Linked DNA regions of Rhinolophus ferrumequinum. The protein of the gene in region 2 purifies or fractionates together with the protein of the main gene of each other region. This does not show direct contact. Links are inferred from orthologs where the notes say so. Each region holds a gene or a part of one and is shown on either strand. Other genes may lie near its edges. The genes, in order: WWP2, TXNIP and NLRP3.

Region 1 (7,502 bases), on a different chromosome or scaffold from region 2:
GACCCACGCCGTCCTTCACCTGGATCCTGGCAATACCTCTGAACGTGTCTCCCTACTTCGTCTTGCTCCTCTTTACTCCTTCTCTGCATGGCAACCAGAGTGACCCGGTTAAAAGGCAGGATGGATGGTGGCCACTCCACTGCTCAAAACTCAATGGTCCCAACTCACTCCGAGTGAAAACTAACATCCTTACAATGGCCTGCAAGGCTCTCCCCCACCCGCCCATCTCTTTCCTTATCCCCAACACCTCTCTGACTCATCTTCCCCATCCCGTCTCACTCATATCCCTGCAGCTGCTGGCCTCCTGGATGATCCACAAACCTGCCAGGGGTGCTGTGTCTTTCAGGCTGTTGAATTTGCTGTTTCCTCTGCCTGGACCACTATGTCCCCATTCAGCCACATGGCTCCTTCCCTCACCTCCTTCAGATCTTCACTCAACCATCACTTTCTCAAGAAGTCTTCTCTCAGGACCCTAATTCAAAACTGCCACCCTAGCCAACATTCCACATCCTACTTCCCTGCTTTATTACAATACAATATGCATTTTACTGGATTCTTTTGTTTACTGTGCCTTTCCCCACTAAAATTTACTGTCCACAAGGGCAGGGATTTTTGACTTTCTCATATATTCTTTCACCGGTGTTTAGAACAGCACTGTGCAATACAATTCTTAATTTTCCAGAAAACATTTTAAAAAGTAAAAAGAAACAGGTGAATTTAATTTCAATTAATACTGTGATTAACCCAATAAACTTAAAATGTCATCATTTATACTATATATATTGATATTGATATTTATTCTAATATAAAAAATATCAATGAGATATTTTATCTTTTTTCCATATTAAGTCTTCAAAATCTGGTGTGTATTTTCTACTCATAGCATATTCTCAGTGCTCAACAGTCCCAGGTGGCAACTGGCCACCATACTGGACAAGGCAACTCTAGAACAATGCCTGGCGTAAAGTAGGCACTTATATATATTCATTGAATTAAAGAATGCTTTCCCAGGAAAAGGCGGCTATAGCACTGCACAGAGTTTTCTAAACTTCAATTGCATTCTGCATTCACAATTTTTGCTGTGATCTACATACTGCTTTTTTTCCTTAAAATGTCATGCTTTTTATACTTGAAAAAATATTTTAAAATAAAACTTTATATTGCTTCTATGAATGGAAAAGAGTGGATCTAAGGATAAAAGCCCTGGGCTGGAGTCCCTGCTCATTCATTCAGTAGCTCTGGACTCTAAAGCAAGAATTTTGCTAAGCCTCAGTTTCTTCATCTGTAGAATAAGGACAATACCAACCTTTACAGGACCATGGTGAGAATTAAATGAGATGCTGGTTATAAGTCTTTGTAAATGGAAAGTAGTCGTTAAGTAAGAGACTGAGGAGCTAACCCAAACCTTTTCCCCAGGCCTATGGTCTTCAGATGGACCAATAACAGAAAATGGCAAGTCTGTCTAAGAGAAGAGCCAGGTCCTGAGTTCAAATCCCTTATCCTCCACATACATCCACGTAACCTTTAGAAATTCATTTATTCATTTACCCAGTGCCCACAACATGCCAGGCACTAGGCTAGTAGCCAAGTAAGCTGAATAAGATGACCCCAGCACTTGAGGGGTTGCAGTCTAGCAGGGAGAAAGAAACCAGTAAACAAGATAAATAAATTGTTTAAAAAAAAAAAAAGAAGTCATCTCTTAGGTCTGTTTGTTCATTGTGAAATGAGAATAACACCTTCCCAACCTAACTCACAGGGCTGCTACAAAAATCAATTTTAAACTGTCAAATATTCCAAAAACTTGCAATCATAATACATTAGCAAAGTACTTTTTTTTCCTACTTGTCACCCAAAATGACTCTGGCTCCTGTGAATGCCCAGTTTGAACATTCACTCCAGTGATACCACATTCACGAAATTTATTTCATTGCTGCAAATTTTAGTAAACACGAAGAAAAAGACGATGAACAGCTTTTCACACAGGTGTTTAATCTCAAAATCACGATCTAGGTCATCGTTCTGAAGAACACAACACAGACCTTTCAGTTACCCTACCTAGTTACAGTTTGTCAAGATAAGCAGTCACATGGTAAGAGAAGCTGAATAATTTAAACTGAAGAAAGAGGAAAAGTCATAAAGCTGTAGAGGTAGACACTGTCCAAGGTTTCAGCAGTCGCTATGTTGCTGAGGTAACTGCTGAGCAACAGTTTAAACTAAAAGCCATTTTATGGCCAAAGTGCCCACACTTTTTTTTTTCAGCCTAGAAGTTGATCTAACCTGGGAAAACCTCAAAGAAAGATTATCAGAAGGGCTAGGTTCCCAAGAAGTGGAAACCCTATCCAGGCAGGACTAAGTGCGTGTGACGAAAGCAAGAAAAGATTCTGTGACCCATCCTAAAGTTTACAAACTGAATGGGACCGAAATCAAAGTCTCGGGTAGCAACCCGAGGAAAGAAGGAAGAGACTCAGCTGGGGTTCAAGCAGCATCTTCCTGAATTCTCCTTCTTTCCCTCCATGTCCTATGCCCATTATCAGGCTCCCCCTTCCAGTTCAGTCGCAAGTTGCCCCTTCCTCCCGTCCCGACCCTTCCTCAAAGGTCACCCCTCTCTATCCCTGGCACCTAAACTCCCTTCTCCTTCCCGAGGGACTTGCTGTCCGCCACCGCACCCCTGGCCTCCTCCGTGCCCATCTCAGAGCAACCCCCGCGAACAGCCCTCGGCGCGCCCACCGCGCCAGAGCCGGAGCCGGGACACCCCTCCTCGGAGGCCGGAACCGCCGCGTCTGGCCCCTCCCACAGGAAGCCACCGCCCCCCGGCGCCCGGGCCGCACCGCCCCCGGCCCACCCCCAGCCGCCCGCAGCCCCTGGCCCGCCCCGCACCCCCCGCGCGTCCGCCTCGCCCCCCGCGCCCGCGCTCGCTACCTGCCGCGGCCACAGAATCCGCGCCCAACTCCTCTCCCACTTCCGCCTCCCACCGCCCGCACTCGGGCTGAGTCACGTGCCCGCTTGCGGTCACCTGACCCGGAAGAGGCTGGCCGGACTCGCAGGTGCAGGCAACCTAGGCCTGGCCTGGGAGCCTTTGGCCGAGAGAAGGCCTTCTTACCCCTTTTATATGTGTAAGTGGGAGCGTTTACCACTCGCTGGACGGCTCCCAGGCAATCAAATAAATTGAGGGCTCACTGAGTGTCAGGAGTTTCATATACTCCTACCTACAACCCCGGAGGCGGGTCTATCATTAGCCCCACTATACAGGTGAGAGGAAGCCGCTCAACAATTAAGTCATCAAGTATTTATTGAGCTCCTTAGTGGGATTGTCAGATAAAATACAGGACGTCTGGTTAAATTTGAATTTCAGATAAACAACCGTGTAATATGTGTGTCCCAGATAGTGCATGGGACATATTTATACACACACAAAATGTTTATCTGAAAATCAAATTTAATTGGCCATACTGTATGTTTGCTTGCTTTATCTGGCAACCTTATGCCTACTATGAGTCAGGCACTGTTGTAGGCTTTAGATACACAAAAATCCTTTCCTGATCACACTATGTAAAATAATTTAAAATAATTTAAATAGGATGATCAGGAAATTTACATAGGGTGATCAGGAAAGGATTTTTGTGTATCTAGAGCCTACAACAGTGCCTGACTCATAGTAGGCATAGGGTTGCCAGATGAAGCAAGTAAAAATACTCTCCTACCGGCCCCTTTTCCTGCTTTATTTTTTCCTCCATATTTCCTCCAGTCTTATCACTATCTGACTTTTGTATGAATATTTGCATGTGTGTAGGTATGTACGTATGTACATAAAATACATATGTAAAATCTATTTCTCACTACAAGAATTATGAAGGCAGGAGCTATATCCCAGTGTAGTGGCTAAAACAATACCCATTTTTTACCTCACACAGGTCTGAAGTCCAGGCCAGCACAGCTAGGTTCTTTGCTCAGCGTCTCACAAGGCTGAAATTAAGGTGGCGTCGTCAGCTGGAGGCTTGACTAGGGAAAGATCTGCTTTCAAGCTCCTTAATATTGTTGGCAGATTTAACTTCCTTGTAGCCAGAGGACCGGAGTCCCTTGGTCTTGCTAGCTGTTGTCTGTGGCCACATGCAGCTCCTAGAGGCTGCTCTCAGGTCCCTGAGACGTGGCCCCCTCCACAGACCTTCCAAACTCGGGAAGCCTCTTGAAATAATTTGTTGAATGAATACATTTCAATATTTATTGAGCACTGAACTCATTGCTGTAGGTCCTACAGTGTAAGAGATTTTTTTCATTTAAGGATAAAGATCCCTAAAACCCATTCCCTGACTTCCAACCTACTTAAAGACAACAGACAACTACATTGCAAAGCATAAATAATAACTGCTCGCTGAGTGACAGAACTGAAATGTCTTAAATGTGGTGGAAAAGCAGAGTTCAAATCTGTCCTTGGGGAAAAATCTAATTTGGGTAATCAGGGACCAATTTACAGAGGGGACAATGGGCCATTTTTGGAAACTAAGCAGTGATTGGCAGGCAGAATTTTCAGGAATAAGAAAAAACAAGGGCAAAGGCAGAGACAGGAAAGTCCAGAAGAATTCTAAGAACATTTATTGATTTCACAGTGTTTCTTCTGCATCAAGTTCTCTCTCCCCTGTTAAGCATTTAGTCTCATAGCCTCTACATATTTCAATCCTGGAAACAAACTCGGATCTTCACTGGCACACAAGCAATACCTTCTCTTTCATAAAGGGTTTCTTCACATGTAAAAGTTGACATCTCCAAATGAGTTACACATTGATTCCTTCTACATGTACTTGAAAGTGTTAATTTGTTCATGTAAACACAATTTTCATAATAGCGTGTGAGATTTCTTTGCTTTTTAAAAACCGGGAGCTTCAAAACAGTGAAGTGTTTCGGGGCTCACTTCACCTCTGAGAGACCCTGTCCCCAGTCACCATGTCCTACCATAGGCTCTACCTTCAATTCCATGAACACCCCTTGGACTTTCCTATCTTGATGGCTTTGCCCTACTCATCCTTCCAGATCCATCTCCAAAGTCAAAAACTCTGAAGGTGTCCCTAGATGCTACAGAAAATATGATTTTGTTCATAGCTGTCATGTCACCCACCCTATGGTGATATAAGTTAGTTCTCAATACATAATTGTTAAATAAGTGAGAGTCCTTCTAAGGCTTTAGGGGGCTTGGAGACTAATGTTCTAAAGAAACAGAAAAGAGATTCAATTCTATTAAAAAATGACAAAAGCTACAAAGTGTCAAGAAACCTTTTAGAGGCATGTCTCATTTTATTGCTCTTCATTTTATTGCACTGCAGAGATACTGCATTTTTCACAAATTGAAGGCAAGACCTTCCATCAGCAAAAAAATTATAACACTTTATTATGGTACTCACTTTATTTCAGTGATCTGGAACTGAACCTGCAATATCTCCAAGATATGCCTGTGTATTAATAAGTATTCTTAGTATTTACTAGAAAATAAATGGCTCAAAGCCTGATCATTCTTTTCCTTTTTCCCTAATCAGTGGTTCTCAAACGTGTCCTCCAAAGGAGCAGCATCCGTATCACCTGGAAATTATTAGAAATACAAAATCTCAGGCCCTGCCCAGAACTACTGAATCAGGAACTGAGAGTGAGACCCATCAAGCTGTGTTTGCAGGTTCCCCAGGTGATTCTGACAGTCAAGTCTGAGAACCACTGATCTAAATCATTCTTCTTCCTTGTGGGGTTTACTCAATTATCGCTGCCAAGTTCAATGAACCTCTTTATTACAGATTCTAGTTCCTCCCTTGCTTTTTAGGCTACATGAGCAATCAATTGAAGAAGAAATTAGACAGGAATACTAGCATTGAGTGTATTATATTTATTAGGCATGAGATAAAAAGCTTGATTAGAGTAATGAATGTAGAGGGGACCCAGACGCCCCATACATTTCAGAAGTGACATCAATAAGGTTTAGCAAGAGAAACACAGGTTGAGAGAGAGGGTGGAAATGAGGTGACTCAGATGCTTACCTTGAATGTCTTTGTTGGTAATGCCTTTTAATGAAAATAGAAACCTTAGTATTGGAACAAAGTTTAAGCTGGGGCGGGAGAGATAATTACTTCAGTCATAACCTTCCTCCTAAGTGAAGATGCCAAAAGTTTTCAGATGATATAAACAGGGAATAAACAGGGATTAGACCTAAAGATTTGGGAGGCATTCCTATAATGTGATAACTGAAGCCTTGAGGATAGATAGTATTGCTGAAGGAGAGAGTTTAGAGAGACAAAGGGGCCAGACAGTTCTGTGGAGGGGGTCCGGTTTGCAAGGCAGAAGAAGGGAGTCCAGTAAAGAAGGATGAGAAGCCATCAGGGAGGGAAGGGACCAGAATCTTGTAGTATCACCCAAGTCAGGCAAGGAGAGACAGTCCAGAAAGAGGAGATGGGCTGCAATGTCAAATTCTACAGAGAAACTGAGAAGGCAAGAAAAAAATACCAGAAAATTGACATGATGAACTCGAAAATTAGAAAGCTTTCTATCAGGCTATTTTAGGCAGGGCAGGCAGGGCAGGAACCAGTGGCTCTGGAGGTTGAGGAGACTAAGTAAGAACAGTTCAGACAGATGTCTAGGGAAGGGAAAGGGGTTTGGGCAACTACTGAAGGGGACCTTCAGGGATTTCTGGAAGTAGGATGCATAAATTAGAAGGGAGGGCTAAGACTGGATTGAAGACTTCACAGAGGTTTGGAATAACTCAACATCTCTGAAAACTGATTACTGAAAACTCAAGTCAACATTCAGCTGAAATTCACCAGCATGAATTTATAATAGGCCAGTTCTCCTAATGATGGAATCTCAGATTGGAAAGGGAATTCAGAAATCATCTAATACCCCTCTTCAGTTCGATTCAGCAAGGAATTATTTGCTAGCAAAGTGTGTGTCTTGCTTAGGGAAGTGGAACGAGGATACTAAGGTAAATAAGGATATTAAGGTAACTTGGCCTCAAGTTACTCAAAAGGAAGTGGGGGTACGTAAGCAGCAGTCAGTATAGCATAATGGGTAAAAAAGAGGCTCCGAGTTGGTTTGTCTGGGTGTTAATCTCAGTCACAACCACTTAAGCTGGGCCTAGTTGTCTTGTAGCTATCCCTTGATCATTAAATTGGGTTATGTGTATTGACTGATTTAACAATGAGAATATATACAACTTTCACCCTTAAAAGTGGAAAAGGAGCTAAGGAGTGAGTGCTGCAGCGTATTTCCTTAGATGTACCCCAAGGTTTAACCGTGCCCGCATCCCGTGGTTGTGCTGCCGGCGTCGTCGCGCATGCGCGCGGGTAGTCCTGAGTCGGGGGATGCGGGTGCGGCCGCCAGGCGGCGCAGCTAAATCGCAGCTGCTCTTCCCGGCTCCCGGACGCCCTGAATGGGAAGTAGTGGTGAGCGCCACCTCCGTGCACATGCGTGTTTGGAGCTGGTTCGGCCAACATGGCTGCCGTGGAGCATGTTGTGGCTGATGCGGGGGCTTT
Region 2 (7,329 bases):
CCCCTGATGGTACAAAGTTCAAGATCTGATATTGTGATTAACCATCGATACTCCCCTCCAAAAAAACTTGGGAAGACCATGCCAGAAGGCCATTTCTACCCCTTATTCGAAACTACTGAAGATGCCTCAATTTTCAAGGAGATCTGAGAGGAGGGGGTGGGCCTGAGTCCTTCTAGTGTTTTTAAACCCATCCAGCCAACACCCCGATATCACATCTCGCTGGCTGAGGACGAGTGCACACCCTTTAAGGCCCAGGAGATTGCCTGCTGATCTCCTACACTGGGGAGTCAGAGGTTAGGGTGGACCCATCGCCCACTGTAGAGACTGTCCAGTCTCTGAAAAAGTTCGAGTCCAGGAAGAGAGGTGGAAAGAAACACGTAGGTACAGCTGCTTCTTGTCTTCCACATGCTCACTGCACATTGTTGTTAAGGATACAGGGATCCACCTGCAGGGAGGAAAAAGCAAAAGATCCTTTAGTTTTAGAAATAAAAGAAAACCCCAGTTTAGCAATCCCGCCCAGTTAACATCCTACAGAAGGCCTGGGATAAACGTTGTGGTAAAATGACAATTCTCACCTCAGTGTAAGTAGGTGGTGGCATGAACTTGAACTCAGGAGCATACATAAAAATAGGGCTGTCTTGAGAACCGTCTGTATCATCTAACAGAGGAGTGGTGGGGCTCTCCAATCGGTGATCTTCAGGAATGATATCCATGTAGCAAGGAGGAGCTGGAGAGAAAAAGTATGGGGATAAGAAGCCTGGCCAAGAATTTTCACAATTTTACAAACCCAAGCAGGCCAGAGGGGAAGAAAAGACATAAGGTCTGGCTCACCTTCTGGGGTATCAGGGATGTTTAGATCCACCCAACTCATCTCAGAGCTGGTACGGCTGGCCATGCTGGACGTCCGGCTGCTCAGACCCGACTTGCTGCCAATTACCAGGGGTAGGTCAAGAATGACTTTCTTGGAACCAGGAATGCTAACGTAGATCTATAAAAGGATGAAGGCACTTTGTTAGACTACAGGTCTAGAAAAGACATCCCTGGTCTTTTGACAGATGAACAATTTCACTCACTTACCCGCAAGAAATATTCAACTCGAAGGATGTCGCAGCCCAGGATGGAAGGCCGGATCTTCTGCACCCGAACGCTCTTGCCACGCCATGATGCACAAGTTCCCGAGATAATATGATTGCCTCTAACTGATGACAACTTCTGCATCAGCACCTTGGTTTGGCCATTGGCAAGGTAAGTGTGGCGGGCTAAGATGGCAGCTTTGGGAACTATGATGCGGGAACATGTATTCTCAAAGTCGGCATGGATGGAAATCTCGTCACCTAGCGATCAGAAAAATAAAAACGGATGCTCAGTACAGTTAATGACTTTTCTTCGATCCCTGTCCTCACCCCCAAACCCCCAGTTTCTGTTCTATCAGTCTACTGTTTTAAGCTCTAGGTTTTTACCTTCACAGAATCCTTTTCTGTCAATTCGGGCAGAGACAGACACCCGTCCATCAGGAATGAACATGCAGGAAACTTTCTTCTCCTTTTTAGCAGACACAGGCGCCTAAGAAGAATGGAGGAGAAAAGGTTTTTTTGAGAATTTCTAGAGATCCTTTTCTCTGCTTCTCTTTCCTTTCCCCTGCCTACCTAGAGTAGGCAGCCCTCCCACCTTGATGACTTAGGACTTCATTCCCTGAGCTGCTTCAATCTAATGCCCAAGACGTTTGACTTATCCCTGAAACCCATACAATCTTCAAATGAACCTCACCATTAAATCAGGGGTATTGACATCCACTAGATCCATCACTTCAAAGTTTTGCTTTGTTTCTTGTGTTGGCTGGCTGGGGCGATCAAGAAAAGCCTTCACCCAGTAGTCTACACCCCCATATTTTCCTTTGAAGGATGTTCCCAGAGGCCTGTGTCAAGTAAAAAGAAGTATTATAATTAACTTAAATATGCTCTCCAAGAACAGAAGATGATCAAAGGAGGGGAAGATTTTTACAGACAGAAAGTCCAAAGATGCATTTAGCTGATACCTACCCCTGAGGAAGCTCAAAGCCGAACTTGTACTCATATTTGTTTCCAGGTCTCATGATCACCATCTCATTCTCACCTGAAGGGAGAGAAAAGTGAGTAGCCATCAGGTTTCTGGTTACACTTAAAATGCATCCCTGTGATAAGGAATTCTTGGGTGGCATGCAAGAGTATTGTAGTACCCTAGTTTTCACCCCTTGTATTTTTAAATGACAAATTCTGATACATGTCGTTGGGCAGAAAGTTGCAAAGCCATCTCAAACAGGAAACAAAGAATAAGCAACCTACGCACACACACACAAAAATATTTTTAAAGATCTAAGGCAACATCCTGCAAGACCAGAACACAGCACCCTAAGAAGTTGTATTAGTCACTTTTTCGGGGTGGGGGGGGGTTGCAAATTAAAACTGAAAGAGCCGCGGCACAGAACTCAAAGCACTCAACCTGAGCAACTTAAAGTATTTAGTACAGGCTCCATTTATTCATTTCAATACTCTTCTCAAATCAGCTTTCACCCTCCAGCAGAGCACGTCTGGGTTACTCACCGGTCGGCTGGTCTTCCAGGAGAAGCGTGTCTTCGTAGCGCAGGTACTCCAAGGTCTGTTTGCACTGCTGGGATCCCTGCATCCAGAGGACTCTGGCCACTCCGCAAGCCAGGACCCTGACAGCTTTGACTCGAGTGACTTCACACACCTCCACTATCACCCGGCCAGTCACCTTCTCCCCACTGCCGTACACCTTTTCAGGGTCGTTAAAGACCACCTCAAAAGACTTGATTTTCTTGAACATCACCATGATTGGGCTGGGTTGGCTTAAGGATTAGAAACCAAAGAAGGCAAAAAAAAAAAATCACCAAACCCTAAATCCAAGAACCCTTGGCAATAATTTTAAGATTATTTCACTCTTCAATTCTACTCAATTTTTGAAAAGATGTCAAAATGTAAGCTGCTGGTTATGCCAAGGAATTTCAAGAGAAAAGTAAGCTTGCTTTCCCCAATAGCTGCAGAAGCGCTCTGGGTTTCGGCCGGCTGGCTGACTGCACCCCGTCTCCAAAAATAAGAGGGGAGTTCCAACTGAGATCCGGAAACAGCTCTATATAGTAGCGGGGCTGGCTGGGCCACGCGAGCGCTAGCCCGGAGGCTCGTGCTGCCCTCGTGCACAGCCCTCCCATTGGCTGCCCGGTCCTTGTTTACCAGGAGCCCGGCCAATCAGCGAGGTCGCAGCGGCGCGTGGACACGGTGTGCTCCTGGCGGGGAAAATGGTTGTTGTGCACCGCGGCCGCACGGGCGGGAGGGGGCGGAGGGCAGGGGAGCGGCTTCCCTTGGGTCCCGGAGGAAGGAGGACCTCGCTGACCCTAAAAATGTGTCCAGGGCCAGGGGCCTTCGAATGGCGGGTGCAGATGATTCAGGGCGGGGAGCGGTGTTTGAAGGTAAAAGGAGAACGTGCTTCTGAGCGATTTCGTGCCTCGCCTTAGCCAGGACAATTAATTTAGAAGCGCCCGCGTATTCCCGGCCCACACATCGCTAGTCGTGTGAAAAACAATCCCAGAGCTCCAAGAATACTTGAGGATGGGGTGGAGGACAGGGAATGTTGATGTTATTGTTCGGGAAGATCCCCTTTGTCCTCTTGCTCCGCATCTGTGTTAAACAACAACACAAACCAGAACTGGTCACAGATTTTAAGCCTCTCTTCAGCCCTCATTGGAAAGCGGGTATGTGTAAACGATGGGCCTCCCTTTCTAGTCCTCTTGCCTGTGCTGTTTCACCCCCCCCCTCGTACTTTCCAGACTGTTCTCTTGAACGGAAATAGTAAGGGCGTGTTCACATCCTGTTGCTTATTCCCTCATCTTTTCAGTTTCTACCTGCATAGTTGGGGGACACTTTGTTTATGTTCCCCCAGCTACCTTTTGACCTCTTTAGTGAGGTGCATTCTGAAGGCTCTGATTATTTCGCACTCCCGACCCCCACACATCTCCAGGAAGGGGGCGGGGTGGGTGCGTCACTCTTTTCACTTTCTGCCGAGTTACTTTTACTCTTTGTCTTCATCCCCTCTCCAACACACTACATCGATGGCATGTACGTGTATCTGTAGGCCACACACCTCACAGCCTTCTAATTAAAAGCAGGAACGTTCTCTTGTTTATAACAAGTGTCAGTGGGGAGATAGCTGTGTTGCTGTTTGAAGGAAGAACTTCCCTCTCTTTTCAAAGTTTTTTTCCTAAGCCGTTTAGAAATCGGTAAGAAATGAAAGAAGAGAGGTGGGTCACTAGAACATCATACGTTCAAATTAAAAGAGACCCTGACTCATCCTGTGTTGTCATTTGGCTTTCTGTCAGAAGGGTTGTCCCCTAACTGGCCATGAGATGTCTTAGGAGCTGACTCCTGAGAACTTATTCATAACTGCAGGAAGGTGACTGTTGCAGAGATACAGGGATTCTTCCCCCCTTTTCTTTGATCCCTGAGCCCCTCTCATTTCTGTGTGGGGCATCAGGAGATTATTACATAATTTCTTGTGCTGGAAAGAGGAAGATGATGTCTCCAAAATGGAGATGGGGAAGTAAAGAAGCATTGAAATATACAGAAATCCTACCCTCTCAGCAAAAAGAAGGCTATTCGTGGTTCTTAAAGATCCTTCTTCACACCTCCTACTGGGTTGAGGCTAACAAGTTATAGCTCAACCCCAATATTAAGCAAGCCCAAGAATCAGGCATCAAAACTGTTGGAGAACACACACACACACACACCCAATTACCACCAACAGAAAAGGGAACATGTTGATCCTTAGTGTGTGGGGGTTTGAGGCAAACACCCTGTTCTAGAAAGTTAACCAGTGAAGCCTGAGTTTTCAATCAGTATGCAATATTGACTGAATTTTCTGGAGCAGGGAAGGTGGAACTCACTAAAGAAATTTTTAAAATTCAAAATTATGGCTTCTGGGAGAATTTTTAGTTTGATGGGTATGAAAGTGTACATAAATGTGAAATATCAAAATATTTACAAAGAAATACATGACTCAATATTGTTAAACTCTGTGATATGTACCCATGTGCATTTTGAGAGGCTGGGAGGAGAGCCAGAGTAGTAATATTAGGTAGGTGCAAAAGTAATTGTGTTCTTTGCAATTATTTTTAATCTTTTAAACCACAATTACTTTTGCACCAACCTAATAGATCAGGGTGGTGATTTGGGACATCTTAGAAAAAGCGAATGCTGATATTTATTTGGGCATATCTCTGAATGCTGAATTTTTGAGTTTTAAAAAATCTGAATATGATTCTGTCTTGCTCTAAGCCCCTCTCTTGGGCTTCAGTTTTATCTTTCTTCCCCATTTTGCAGAATTCAGTACAGATCACTTATTTGCTCTCTGTTATGTCTGGGTTCCCTTAAATGCCAAAAAACTATTTTGTTTTGGCAGCGGCTGCTGCCTTACCAGGCTTGTAGCCAAGGCATGTTCTGAAATGGAGCTCTCTTGGATAGGGTTGTTCACGACCTTTCACCTAGTAGCCCGGTATTCTGATAAAAGTCTGCCCCCTGATTCTTTCTCAGTTCCTGATTGGAAGGAAGAAGGAATCTTGTAAACTGCTGTCCTGAAACTAGGGTGCAAACACTTGTGGGGTGCAGGGGAGAAAAGGGACAGGAGCTAAGTAGGGCTGAGTGCAGGAGTTTTGCAAGTGAGATCATCTTTACCTGTTCCTTCCCCACTCTCTTCAATCCCAGTGCCAACAGGAAACAAAGTGGTGACTGTTGTTTGCCTTCCCAGAGGTGATTGAGTTGTGAAGCCAAAGGGAGGGAAGCGCCCTCAGCACTCTGTTACCAGTCAGAGACAAGAGGCTGGTTGCACTTCTCTTTTCTTTAACCTCTGGCCTGACAAATCTTTAAGACCTCTAAAGACTCAGTTCCTAAGGCAAAACAAACCCCTTTCTTTGTTCTTTTAATCACTTCTGTCACCTCCAGATTAGAGGCAAGTAAAGGTTTGAAAGGTAGTGTGGAACTGAGACTCCCCAACTGTGTGTGTGTGCCTCCAACTCAGATAAATAAGAATGCATTAATCATTGTGTGGCATCTTGAGTTCAAAGTGCGTATATTGAGCACCTGTAATGGACAAAGTCCTTTACAAAATTATCTCAATGATATTTTATTTGTAAGTTCATCTGTCATGTTGTTCCAGAAAGGATTTAAGGTTACATTGTTCATTTAATTCTCACAATAACCCTGTGACTCAGGGTTGATTAATTCAGGCTCAAAGGGTTAAGTAATTTGCCGGAAGTCACAGATTTTGTAAATGGAGCAAGATCTTGAACCCAGCTGTGTCTGATCTAAAGTACTGTATGTACTCTTTTCAATATGTTGTCCTACCTGAGCAGTGCTTAAGCACATCGTATCTTGTTTGATCTTCAGTACAAAGGATTCAGGGCAAAACATAAAGCTCTAGAGGTAAAGAGGACACTAACATTCTTTGAAAAACAACAACAGTTCCCTTATTTAAGCAATTTGCTCTAGGACAAACAGCTAGTAGAGTCACTCTCCAAAACCAGGCTTCTTAATACTTAATCTAGAGTTCATGTCTCTAGGATGCTTTGTGAGGGTATTTTTTTTTTTTTTTTTTTTTTCTTTAATTATTAAAAATACCTCATCTGAACAGGTACCTTGTTGCCACAGGTGGGGGAGGGGGGCGCTGGGTGAAATGGGTGAAGGAAGTCAAAAGGCACAAACTTCTAGTTATAAAATAAGTCTTGGGGATGTGATGTATAGCAGTTAAAAATACTATATCGCATATTTGAAAGTTGCTAAGAGAATAGATTCTAAAAGTTCTCATCACAAGAAAAGAAATCCTGTAATTATGTTGACAGATGTTAACTAGACTTAATGTGGTGATCATTTCACAATATGTATAAATGTTGGATCATTACGTTGTACACCTGAAACTAATACGTATATTTACTGTACCAAAAACAAAACAAAAAACCCCACCTCATTGGGAAGACCAAATTTCATGTTTATTGGGTCTATTTCTCTACTACGGTGAGGAAAGAATGGAGGTCTAGGAGTTGTCCGACTTCAGGGAAAGCTGGGGAGAAGAGATGAATTAAGTTATTCAGAACTATTGCAGACTCATTTAAGATATTTGTTAAAGTTGCCTTATTATATTTAAAAAAATCTTAATACCTTCTCAATGCTATCACCACATCTGTTTTCTTTCCTGTAACATTTCTTAAGAGAATAAATAATTTACACCACTTTCTCTGCTGACTAAACTTGTCCCCCAGACTACTTGTCCCCAGTAGTCTGACTTCTA
Region 3 (8,075 bases), on a different chromosome or scaffold from region 2:
GTGTCCTGTGGAAACTTTAATAGAGCAGGTTTGATTTGAAGGGAAGGCGACCCAGCTACTGACTCTCTGTAGTTTGATAGTAGTTGGGGTGTTTGGGAGATCTGGAAAGGGTCCCTTCTGTTTAGAAGTTAATTGGGCTGTTAGAGACCCCTCCCCCTCTAGGCTTTTAATAGTTCTTGGTCCCCACTGTACAACTTTATGACTTTAAGGGGCTATAATGTGTAGAGGAGTTGGCTTGGGGGAAGTGCCAGTCCTTATATTTTGAGTGCCTGCTGGACTTTTCCCAAGTTAATATAGAAAATAACAGAATTGAGGTCAGAATCCACAGCAATGGGCAGCAATTAGAGCCAGGGCTTAGAGGTCTCCTGACAAAACTTTTTCTAGAGTCCTTTTTAAGTGTGATTTGCTTATTTTATACTTTTTCTGCAACATAGGCCAATGGTAAGGAATAGGCGGAGTAAAATGAGCCCAAATTTAGGGGGGTTTATTTTTACAACTGAGTAGGTTTTAGAGGAAATAAATAGGTCCAGAGTGAGTGGTCAAGAAAGAATAAATAGCTTCTATATTAATCAGGAAATTTACAGGCTTACCTGCCACGTCAACGGTCACCCTCAGTTCCACCCTTGTGATGAGAAGAGCTTGGGAGCCTCTGGGAACTTCAGGTCCAGCAGTGATCACAGCCATTTGTGGGGAGGGAGTTGGTCTCTGCTCCCTTCAGAACAGGGGGCAGTCCCTCCTCCAGTGCCCTTTTAGTTTGCAGTGGGACCATGGCTGGTTTGGAGGAGTAGGACACTCCTTACTCCAGTGGCCTGGCGTTTCCTCTTCTGGGGTTTCTGGGGGGCCCTGAGGTGGCTTCAGCCCTGGGTTGTCTACAACTGCAGCCAAAAGTCTGGCCTGTCTCTGGCTTTGTCTCTAGTTTCACTGTTCCTTTATTACTTGTTTATCCTGCTTCAGTTGTTAAAGATATTTAAACAAATTTCCTGACCTTTTCTAGATTCTGTGGCTTTTTATTAAGATGCAACAATGGGTCGGAATTATTATAATTTGCTGTCAGGTGAGGAAAAATATTAAGTCAAGCTTAATGAATTTACCCTAACTTATCTAGGTTTTTGGTATAAAACAGTTAAATTATTTTTTTTAATAGTTGTTTATATCTGACATGAGAAGGACACATGAACACCAGTAGTCCTAGAATATAGAAATTATTGCAATAACATATATCATCTTTGTTTTTTAGGTAGAAAACCTTTTATATTAGTAGTAGACCAATAGTCTAATAAAATTTGTCTTACTTAGCAGAGAGAGAAAAATCAACTTGAGTTTTGTACTACCTTTACAACCTTAATTTATACTAATAACCAAAAGCAAGTAATTAGCTCTTTCCCTGGTAAATCGAGGGATATATTTTGTAACCTTTAAAAGCATTGACTTTTGTAATGCAATGCATGACATATTCATTAACAGATCTTAATTTCTCTTTTATTATTCCTGTTACAAGAAGCCAGAAATAGGTAAACTCAGACCTAGCCAATAATTGATATTTCAATATTTTGCTATTTTGAAATACCTAGATAGTTAATAACTTTCATCATTTAACACAACTTAGTAAATCCAACAAACCAGTCTTAGTATCAAATATTTCCTTAGATCAGGTGATCCTGAGAAGTAGTTGAGTTAGTTGTTATTATCTTAATTAATATAAGCACTTACTCTCTTATTTTTAGCCAATCAAATATTATAAACTGGCAATACCATCTGGAGGCAAAACCATTATTATATAAAACAGACAAGTACAGACCTTAGAGACTACATATGTAAACAGAACCACCAACACTTGCAGAGAGGACCTAAGATCTTATAGTTGCCCTTCCAACTTCAGGAGGCTGTAACGGAGTGGGGGCGCTTGCCGCCTGGGTTTAAAAGTGCCTCTTTTTTTCTCTTCAGTTACCTCAGCCTCAAGTGGAGGCTGCAGCAGCCCTTTGTTTACATTTGAGGTTATCTGCAAGACCTTGAAAGTTACTGAGAGTTAGAGAAATCTTTTAAGAATTACCACCTTTTGTCAAGTTCTTGAATATAGTTGGTGTACAAAACAGTTTTAAATACATGACTTAGAAGGCTCACAGAAGGTATAGATACAGAGCTCCTGATCAGCTTGGTGTCTAAGACACAAATAGAAAAGGAAAAGGAAAAGAGAAAAGACAGACTAGAGGCAAATAAAACAAATAAATTACATAAGCTAGTACTTACAGAACTAAATCCTCCTGAAATGAGGAGCTGGAGTTTGGGGGAGAAGGTGTAGGCTGAGGGCATGGGGTGGACGAGGAGAGACCCAATCGATCTTCAGCCGGGTCAAAGGAAGGAGTTTTATCTGGAGGAGGAGAAGGCTTAGAGTGCGCTAGGAGAATTTGGAATGTATTGTAGGTTTGGCAGAGGGAGAGTCGAGCTCAAAGAATAAAGAAGGCCTGCACATAGGGAATTTCTGACCATTTTCTGTTGTGGTGACAGAAGTTAGATAGGGGTGAGGCAGTGCTGTAGTAAAAGATAAGTCCTGTGGGTCAGATATCCTGTAAGATGAGCCCAAGGGAGTGTAAGTTGTGGAGGGGACAACCGAGAGGCGTAGATTTGGCAAGGACCAAATGTGAGGCCCCCATGGTTTGAAGAGATAGAGTGACAAGGGTGAGAAGAGAGCTTCCTGTTAGGAGGAGCACAGGGGTGAGGCATCTCCCGATTCCGGTGTCCGTCCTCCTCGGGTTTGGATATGGTAGACCGCTCCTCAGAACAGCGTCCTCAGACTGGGAGGATCTGGGCCCCCGGGGCCTGGAGGAACTTTCTGGCCTAGCTCTAGGACTTTTGGAAAACTGGAGAGTCAGCAGGTCCGAGGAGAGAATAAGACGTCTCACTCACCCGGTGTGAGAGTCTGGCCGGATGTTGTCTGGGATGTCAGCAACAGAAGGGAGAAAGTCCCCAAGCACATCCTTACGGCAGGTCTGGGAGGGTAGCCAGAGAGCAGATCAAGCAGGGGGGAGAGGGGAGTAGGGAGAAGAGAAAGAGAAGAAGCGATCCTGCATTCTCTGGCCTAAACCCTCCCGGGTTCTGGCACCAAATGATAGGTAGGCTGGTAAAGGAACGCACATGGTCAGGCAAGCTGAGAAAGTTTATTAAGAGAAAGCCTGTCGGGCGGAGCAAAGATGGCTACAGCCCAGACTGTGCGTCTAAAGGAGACCTGCAGCCCCAAGGGAGGGGGTGAGGAGAGTTTTATAGGGGCTGTGCTGACAGGGTAGCACTGTTTGAACAGAAAATTCTGACTACCTGCAAGCTAGTAGCTGTTTTGTGGTGTTTTCTGTTTTTCGCAAGTTTGGCTCTGTCTGCAGGTGCAGGCCAACAGACATTTTGTTGTTTTCTTGCAGACGTGGTTCTGTCTGTAAGTCAAGGTCTCTGAGACCTAACATTCAGAGACCTAACATTAAGTCAAGGTCTCCAACATTCAGAGACCTAACAGCAAGAATATACAATAGGGGTAAAGATAGTCTCCTCAATAAACTGTTTTGGGAAAAATGGACAGATACATGTAAAACAATGAAACTAGACCACTTTCTTATACCACATACAAGAATAAACTCAAAATGCATTAAAGACTTAAATGTAATACCCAAAACAATAAAACTACTTGAGGAAAACATAGGCAGTAAACCCTCTGACATTGCTCTTAGTAATATTTTTTCTGATGTATTTCTTTGGGCAAGGGGAAAAAAAGAAAAAGAAACAAATGGGACTACCTCAAACTAAAAAGGTTTTGGACAGCAAAGGAAACCATCAACAAAACGAAAAGACAAACTATTAAATGGGAGAAGATATTTGCCAATAATACATCTGATAAGAGGTTAATACCCAAAATTTATTAAAAAAAACTCATACAACTCAATACAAAAAAATTCCAATTAAAAAATGGGCAGCGGACATGGATAGACATTTCTCCAAAGAGGACATACAGGTGGCCAAAAGACATATCAAAAGATGCTCAGTATGACTAATTATCAGAGAAATGCAAATCAAAACCACAATGAAATATCACCTCATTGCTGTCAAAATGGCTATCATCAATAAATCAACAAATAGGGCCAGTCTGGTGACTCAGGCAGTTAGAGCTCCATGCTCCTAACTCCGAAGGCTGACGGTTCGATTCCCACATGGGCCAGTGGGCTCTCAACCACAAGGTTGCCAGTTCAATTCCTCGACTCCCGCAAGGGATGGTGGGCTATGCCCTCTGCAACTAGAAACGGCAACTGGACCTGGAGCTAAGCTGTGCCCTCCTCAACTAAGACTGAAAGGACAACAACTTGAAGCTGAACGGCACCCTCCACAACAAAGATTGAAAGGACAACAACTTGACATGGAAAAAAGTCCTGGAAGTACACACTGTTCCCCAATAAGGTCCTGTTCCCCTTCCCCAATAAAATGTTAAAAATAAATAAATAAATAAATAAATAAACAAACAAACAAACAAATAACAAGTGGTGTGAGGATGTGGAGAAAAGGGAACCCTCGTGCACTGTTGGTAGGATTGCAAACTGGTGCAACCGCTATGGAAAACAGTATGGAGATGCCTCAAAAAATTAAAAATAGAACTACTTTATGACTCAGCAAGTTCACGCCTGGGTATTTATCCAAAGAAACCCAAAACACTAATTCAAAAAGGTGCATGCATGTGTATGTTCATTGCAGCATTGTTTACAACAGCCAAGATACGGAAGTGAACTAAGTGCCCATCGATAGATGACAGGATAAAGAAGAGGTGGTGCATATGAGAAAGGTTCTGTGTCACACATCACTTCTGGTATGGCAATTTCTGTCAAATAAAAACATTACGGTGTGTCCTCATGCAACTTAGACTGTGCAGTCAACAGAAAAACATCCAGCCTGAGAGAAAGCTTATAAGAGTTCATTTGAGCCAAACTGACAACAATTGCTGGGAAGCAAAATCTCAACGGATTGAGAAAATGCTCTGGAAAATGGCCATTTTGCAACTTATTTTTATACATTAGAATCAAAGGAGGAGGGTTTCATGAAATCCATTGGTCGTAGATTAAGGGGGTGGGAGAAAGCAAAGCGGGGAAATCTCTGGGATTGGATAAAAAGCAAAATGGAGAGACACACACTTCTTTTACATTGGTGGGTACAGGATAGTTAATAGCATTTTACAGCACAGAGAGATGGTATTTAGAAAACAAGATAACAATGAGGGATTTTGTAGTTTCCTGCTCTGGTGCGGTGGGTTGTGCCCTCTGGGAGGTCTGAAGGAAGAGATTACTCTTATATTCCAAGGGTATGTTATCTTAGATGCAAAAAGACGACAGACAGGTTCACGTAAGGTAAAGATTTACCTTTGCCAAGGAAGCAACAGGTGAGGATGTGACTTCCCGCCATGGCCCACCTTACTGAGGAATTTTTATGTTCACACCATCCTCTGTGGTTATTTTCAGTCTCCTGAGCTTGTCAGGTTTAAATGTGGCCCCTTTTTCATTCACATTTCCCCCTTTTGGTCATAAATCAATTCGAATAATACATTGATGACCAACCTTTTGGTTGGATAGTGTGGTCCCACGGTGCTAGGAGGGCTCATTCCTAGGAATCTTAGTGTCGGCATTTGTCCTGCTGAATGTTGGACCATTGTGGGTGGGGCAAGACCATAACCTTAGATGGCAGTCAAGGCCAAATTATTTATTTATATTTAAAAGAAAAGGTGAGCAAACAGGAGGCAGTCAGATCCTATATGTCTTCATTAAATATATTCTGGATCATTTCTAATCTTTGAGCTATCATGATCCAAGTTTTTCCTCTGTCTGTCTTATGTTGTTTTTTTGCACCTAATATAACATGTACAAACTAGGAACAAGAGCAATAGTATTAAACCAGTAACACTGATTAGGAGCAGAAAATGTCCAATATTAGACAAGTATGAGTCTGAGCGGAGCAAACATCCTAGCCAACCAAAGAACCCTTCATTTGCATTATCATAATTTTTTATTAAGCTAATATGTTTCCCTCCCTCGTCTACTGCTATTTGTACCTTATGACAAGTTCGGCCAGATAAATGAAGAATTTACTATTTCATGATCGAAAAGCTCTAATTTTTCTTCTGGTCAATTAGTTTCCATAGAAATGACTTCATGGGGAGGAGTAAGTTCAATTTCCCAGTACACTGGATTTTCAGTATCAATATTGTTATAGGCAAAGTTAATTTGGCTGTGATTTCAGTACTACACCGTATTCCCATAGCATTTACTATAAACCTGGTATTATTACAGTAGAAATCAGTTAGTATGACAGAAGAATTTTCTAACCCTTCCCAACAAAAACGTCCCCTTCTCATATAACACATATTGTTGTTTGTTGAGGTGGATACAATAGGCCAGGATTAGGTAAATTCAGAATTCCATATAGATTGGGGACATAATCATTCACCTTTTCAGTTTAATATGGCCTATCTACTTTACATTGGAAGCGCTCATGTGTCATTCATTAATCTGATTTCTGCTAGTTGTATAACCGGGACCTGTATCTTTAAGGTTTAATAGGGGCTAAGAACACAATGGTGTAAGTTACAATTACTACCTGAACATTTCTAGAGGCCAAGAGGACAGTAGAAGTTTCATAAATAAATTTTCTGTGCCTTAGCAGCCATTATAGAGGGATATATATATATACGTATATATGTACATATATATATATATATATATATATACACACACACATAGATAGATAGATAGATAGATCTCCACTTCAGCTTCTATCTGAATTAATATCGTTAGTAGTCTTTGTAAAGATTGGGGCTAAGTATAATTGGGTTCTAATATAAAATTCCTTTCTCAATATTTCTTTTCCACTAACCTTCTATAACTTCACTTGTCCTTCTCAGTTTGTCTCCTTTCCCTCATTCAGAAATAATCAACTTATTAGGACAAACTACTTCCTTTTAACTTCTCTCAAAAATACACACACATCCCTTTTCTTCTTTCTACAATAACATTTCTTTTACATTTCAAAACCATAAATATAGTATTATTGATAATAAAGAAGTTATCTAATACGACTTGAGCAATTATTAACAGTCGGGCTATATAAGTACAGGTTTTGAAAAAAGCCTAACAAACAAGTATAACTATCATTATTACTAATATTATTAGCAGACAGTTAAAGACAATCAAACAATGGTTGTTTTAAGTTCAGTATCAATTATGTAGATGTACAGGCCTTCTCGATGTCTTGGGGTAGCTGTCTAACCCTGATGTCGGCAGCTTCTCATCCTTGAAGAGTCTTTGGTATCCACTGATAGGTCCCTTCCGACAAGGTTGGAGAGCCTTTGTCCAATGGACAAAATCTCCTGGCTGTGAGCCGTGGTCTTTGCAGTCTTCGTCTCCCGGGAACATGCTGAAGTGAATCAGTTACTAATTTATTAATTTCTTTAAGATAATTGATAAGTCCTTGATAATAATGTAGAATGTCTCCTATTAGTAAGGTGAACAATGATAATGAGGAGAAAGCCCATGTTTACCAAAAGGAATATATCTCGTTTGAGAAGCACTATAAGGAGAGCTTTTGGCCAAGGGAGATTAAAAGCTTCTGAAAATTTACCTAGTTGAATTTTAACTTATCATTTGTACACTCAACCAATCCAGAGGACTGGGGTGATAAGTGCAATGAAAATGCTGTAAAATAAGCCAAATATTACAAATATATTATTGGCCCCGTGAAATGAGTCTCTCAGTTACTGTGCAATTCACAGGGAATTCTCCAATTGGAGATTATTATTAATATAAATAACTTCCCTACCATTAAGGCTGTTGTTCTCCTGCAAAGGAATGTCTCAACCCAGTGAGACAACATACAAATCATGACTAACATATGTGTGCATCCTTGAGATGGTGGCATTTGAATAAAATCCAATTACCATACCTCAAATGGACCTAAAGGAAATAGAAAATGTCCTTAGGACACACGGAGTGATTTTCCAAGGTTATATTTTAGACAGATAGAATATCTGCTATACACTTTATGAGCTACAGTAGGAGATTTCC

Evidence for each region.
Region 1: the proteins of TXNIP (region 2) and WWP2 purify together in Homo sapiens (affinity purification with mass spectrometry; 3 studies listed by BioGRID and IntAct, with this or other methods). This does not show direct contact. The link is inferred for Rhinolophus ferrumequinum from reciprocal best matches to the Homo sapiens genes TXNIP and WWP2.
Region 3: the proteins of TXNIP (region 2) and NLRP3 purify together in Homo sapiens (affinity purification with western blotting, with the first as the bait; 4 studies listed by BioGRID). This does not show direct contact. The link is inferred for Rhinolophus ferrumequinum from reciprocal best matches to the Homo sapiens genes TXNIP and NLRP3.

Annotation. Positions count from the first base shown.
Region 1 is NC_046298.1:18,774,264-18,781,765, reverse strand, and holds the start of WWP2 (NEDD4-like E3 ubiquitin-protein ligase WWP2), read right to left. Parts: upstream 3,004-7,502; 5' UTR 2,920-3,003; intron 2,749-2,919; exon of another isoform or gene 2,728-2,748; intron 1-2,727. Other genes in the region: RNA-binding protein NOB1, read left to right, coding at 7,462-7,502. UniProt on the Homo sapiens protein: E3 ubiquitin-protein ligase which accepts ubiquitin from an E2 ubiquitin-conjugating enzyme in the form of a thioester and then directly transfers the ubiquitin to targeted substrates.
Region 2 is NC_046305.1:50,205,431-50,212,759, forward strand, and holds the start of TXNIP (thioredoxin-interacting protein), read right to left. Parts: upstream 3,089-7,329; 5' UTR 2,830-3,088; coding exon 2,580-2,829; intron 2,113-2,579; coding exon 2,040-2,112; intron 1,916-2,039; coding exon 1,768-1,915; intron 1,564-1,767; coding exon 1,461-1,563; intron 1,335-1,460; coding exon 1,078-1,334; intron 989-1,077; coding exon 832-988; intron 728-831; coding exon 576-727; intron 446-575; coding exon 410-445; 3' UTR 1-409. UniProt on the Homo sapiens protein: May act as an oxidative stress mediator by inhibiting thioredoxin activity or by limiting its bioavailability.
Region 3 is NC_046307.1:1,051,612-1,059,686, forward strand, and holds the start of NLRP3 (NACHT, LRR and PYD domains-containing protein 3), read right to left. Parts: upstream 3,001-8,075; 5' UTR 2,248-3,000; intron 772-2,247; 5' UTR 591-771; intron 1-590. UniProt on the Homo sapiens protein: Sensor component of the NLRP3 inflammasome, which mediates inflammasome activation in response to defects in membrane integrity, leading to secretion of inflammatory cytokines IL1B and IL18 and pyroptosis.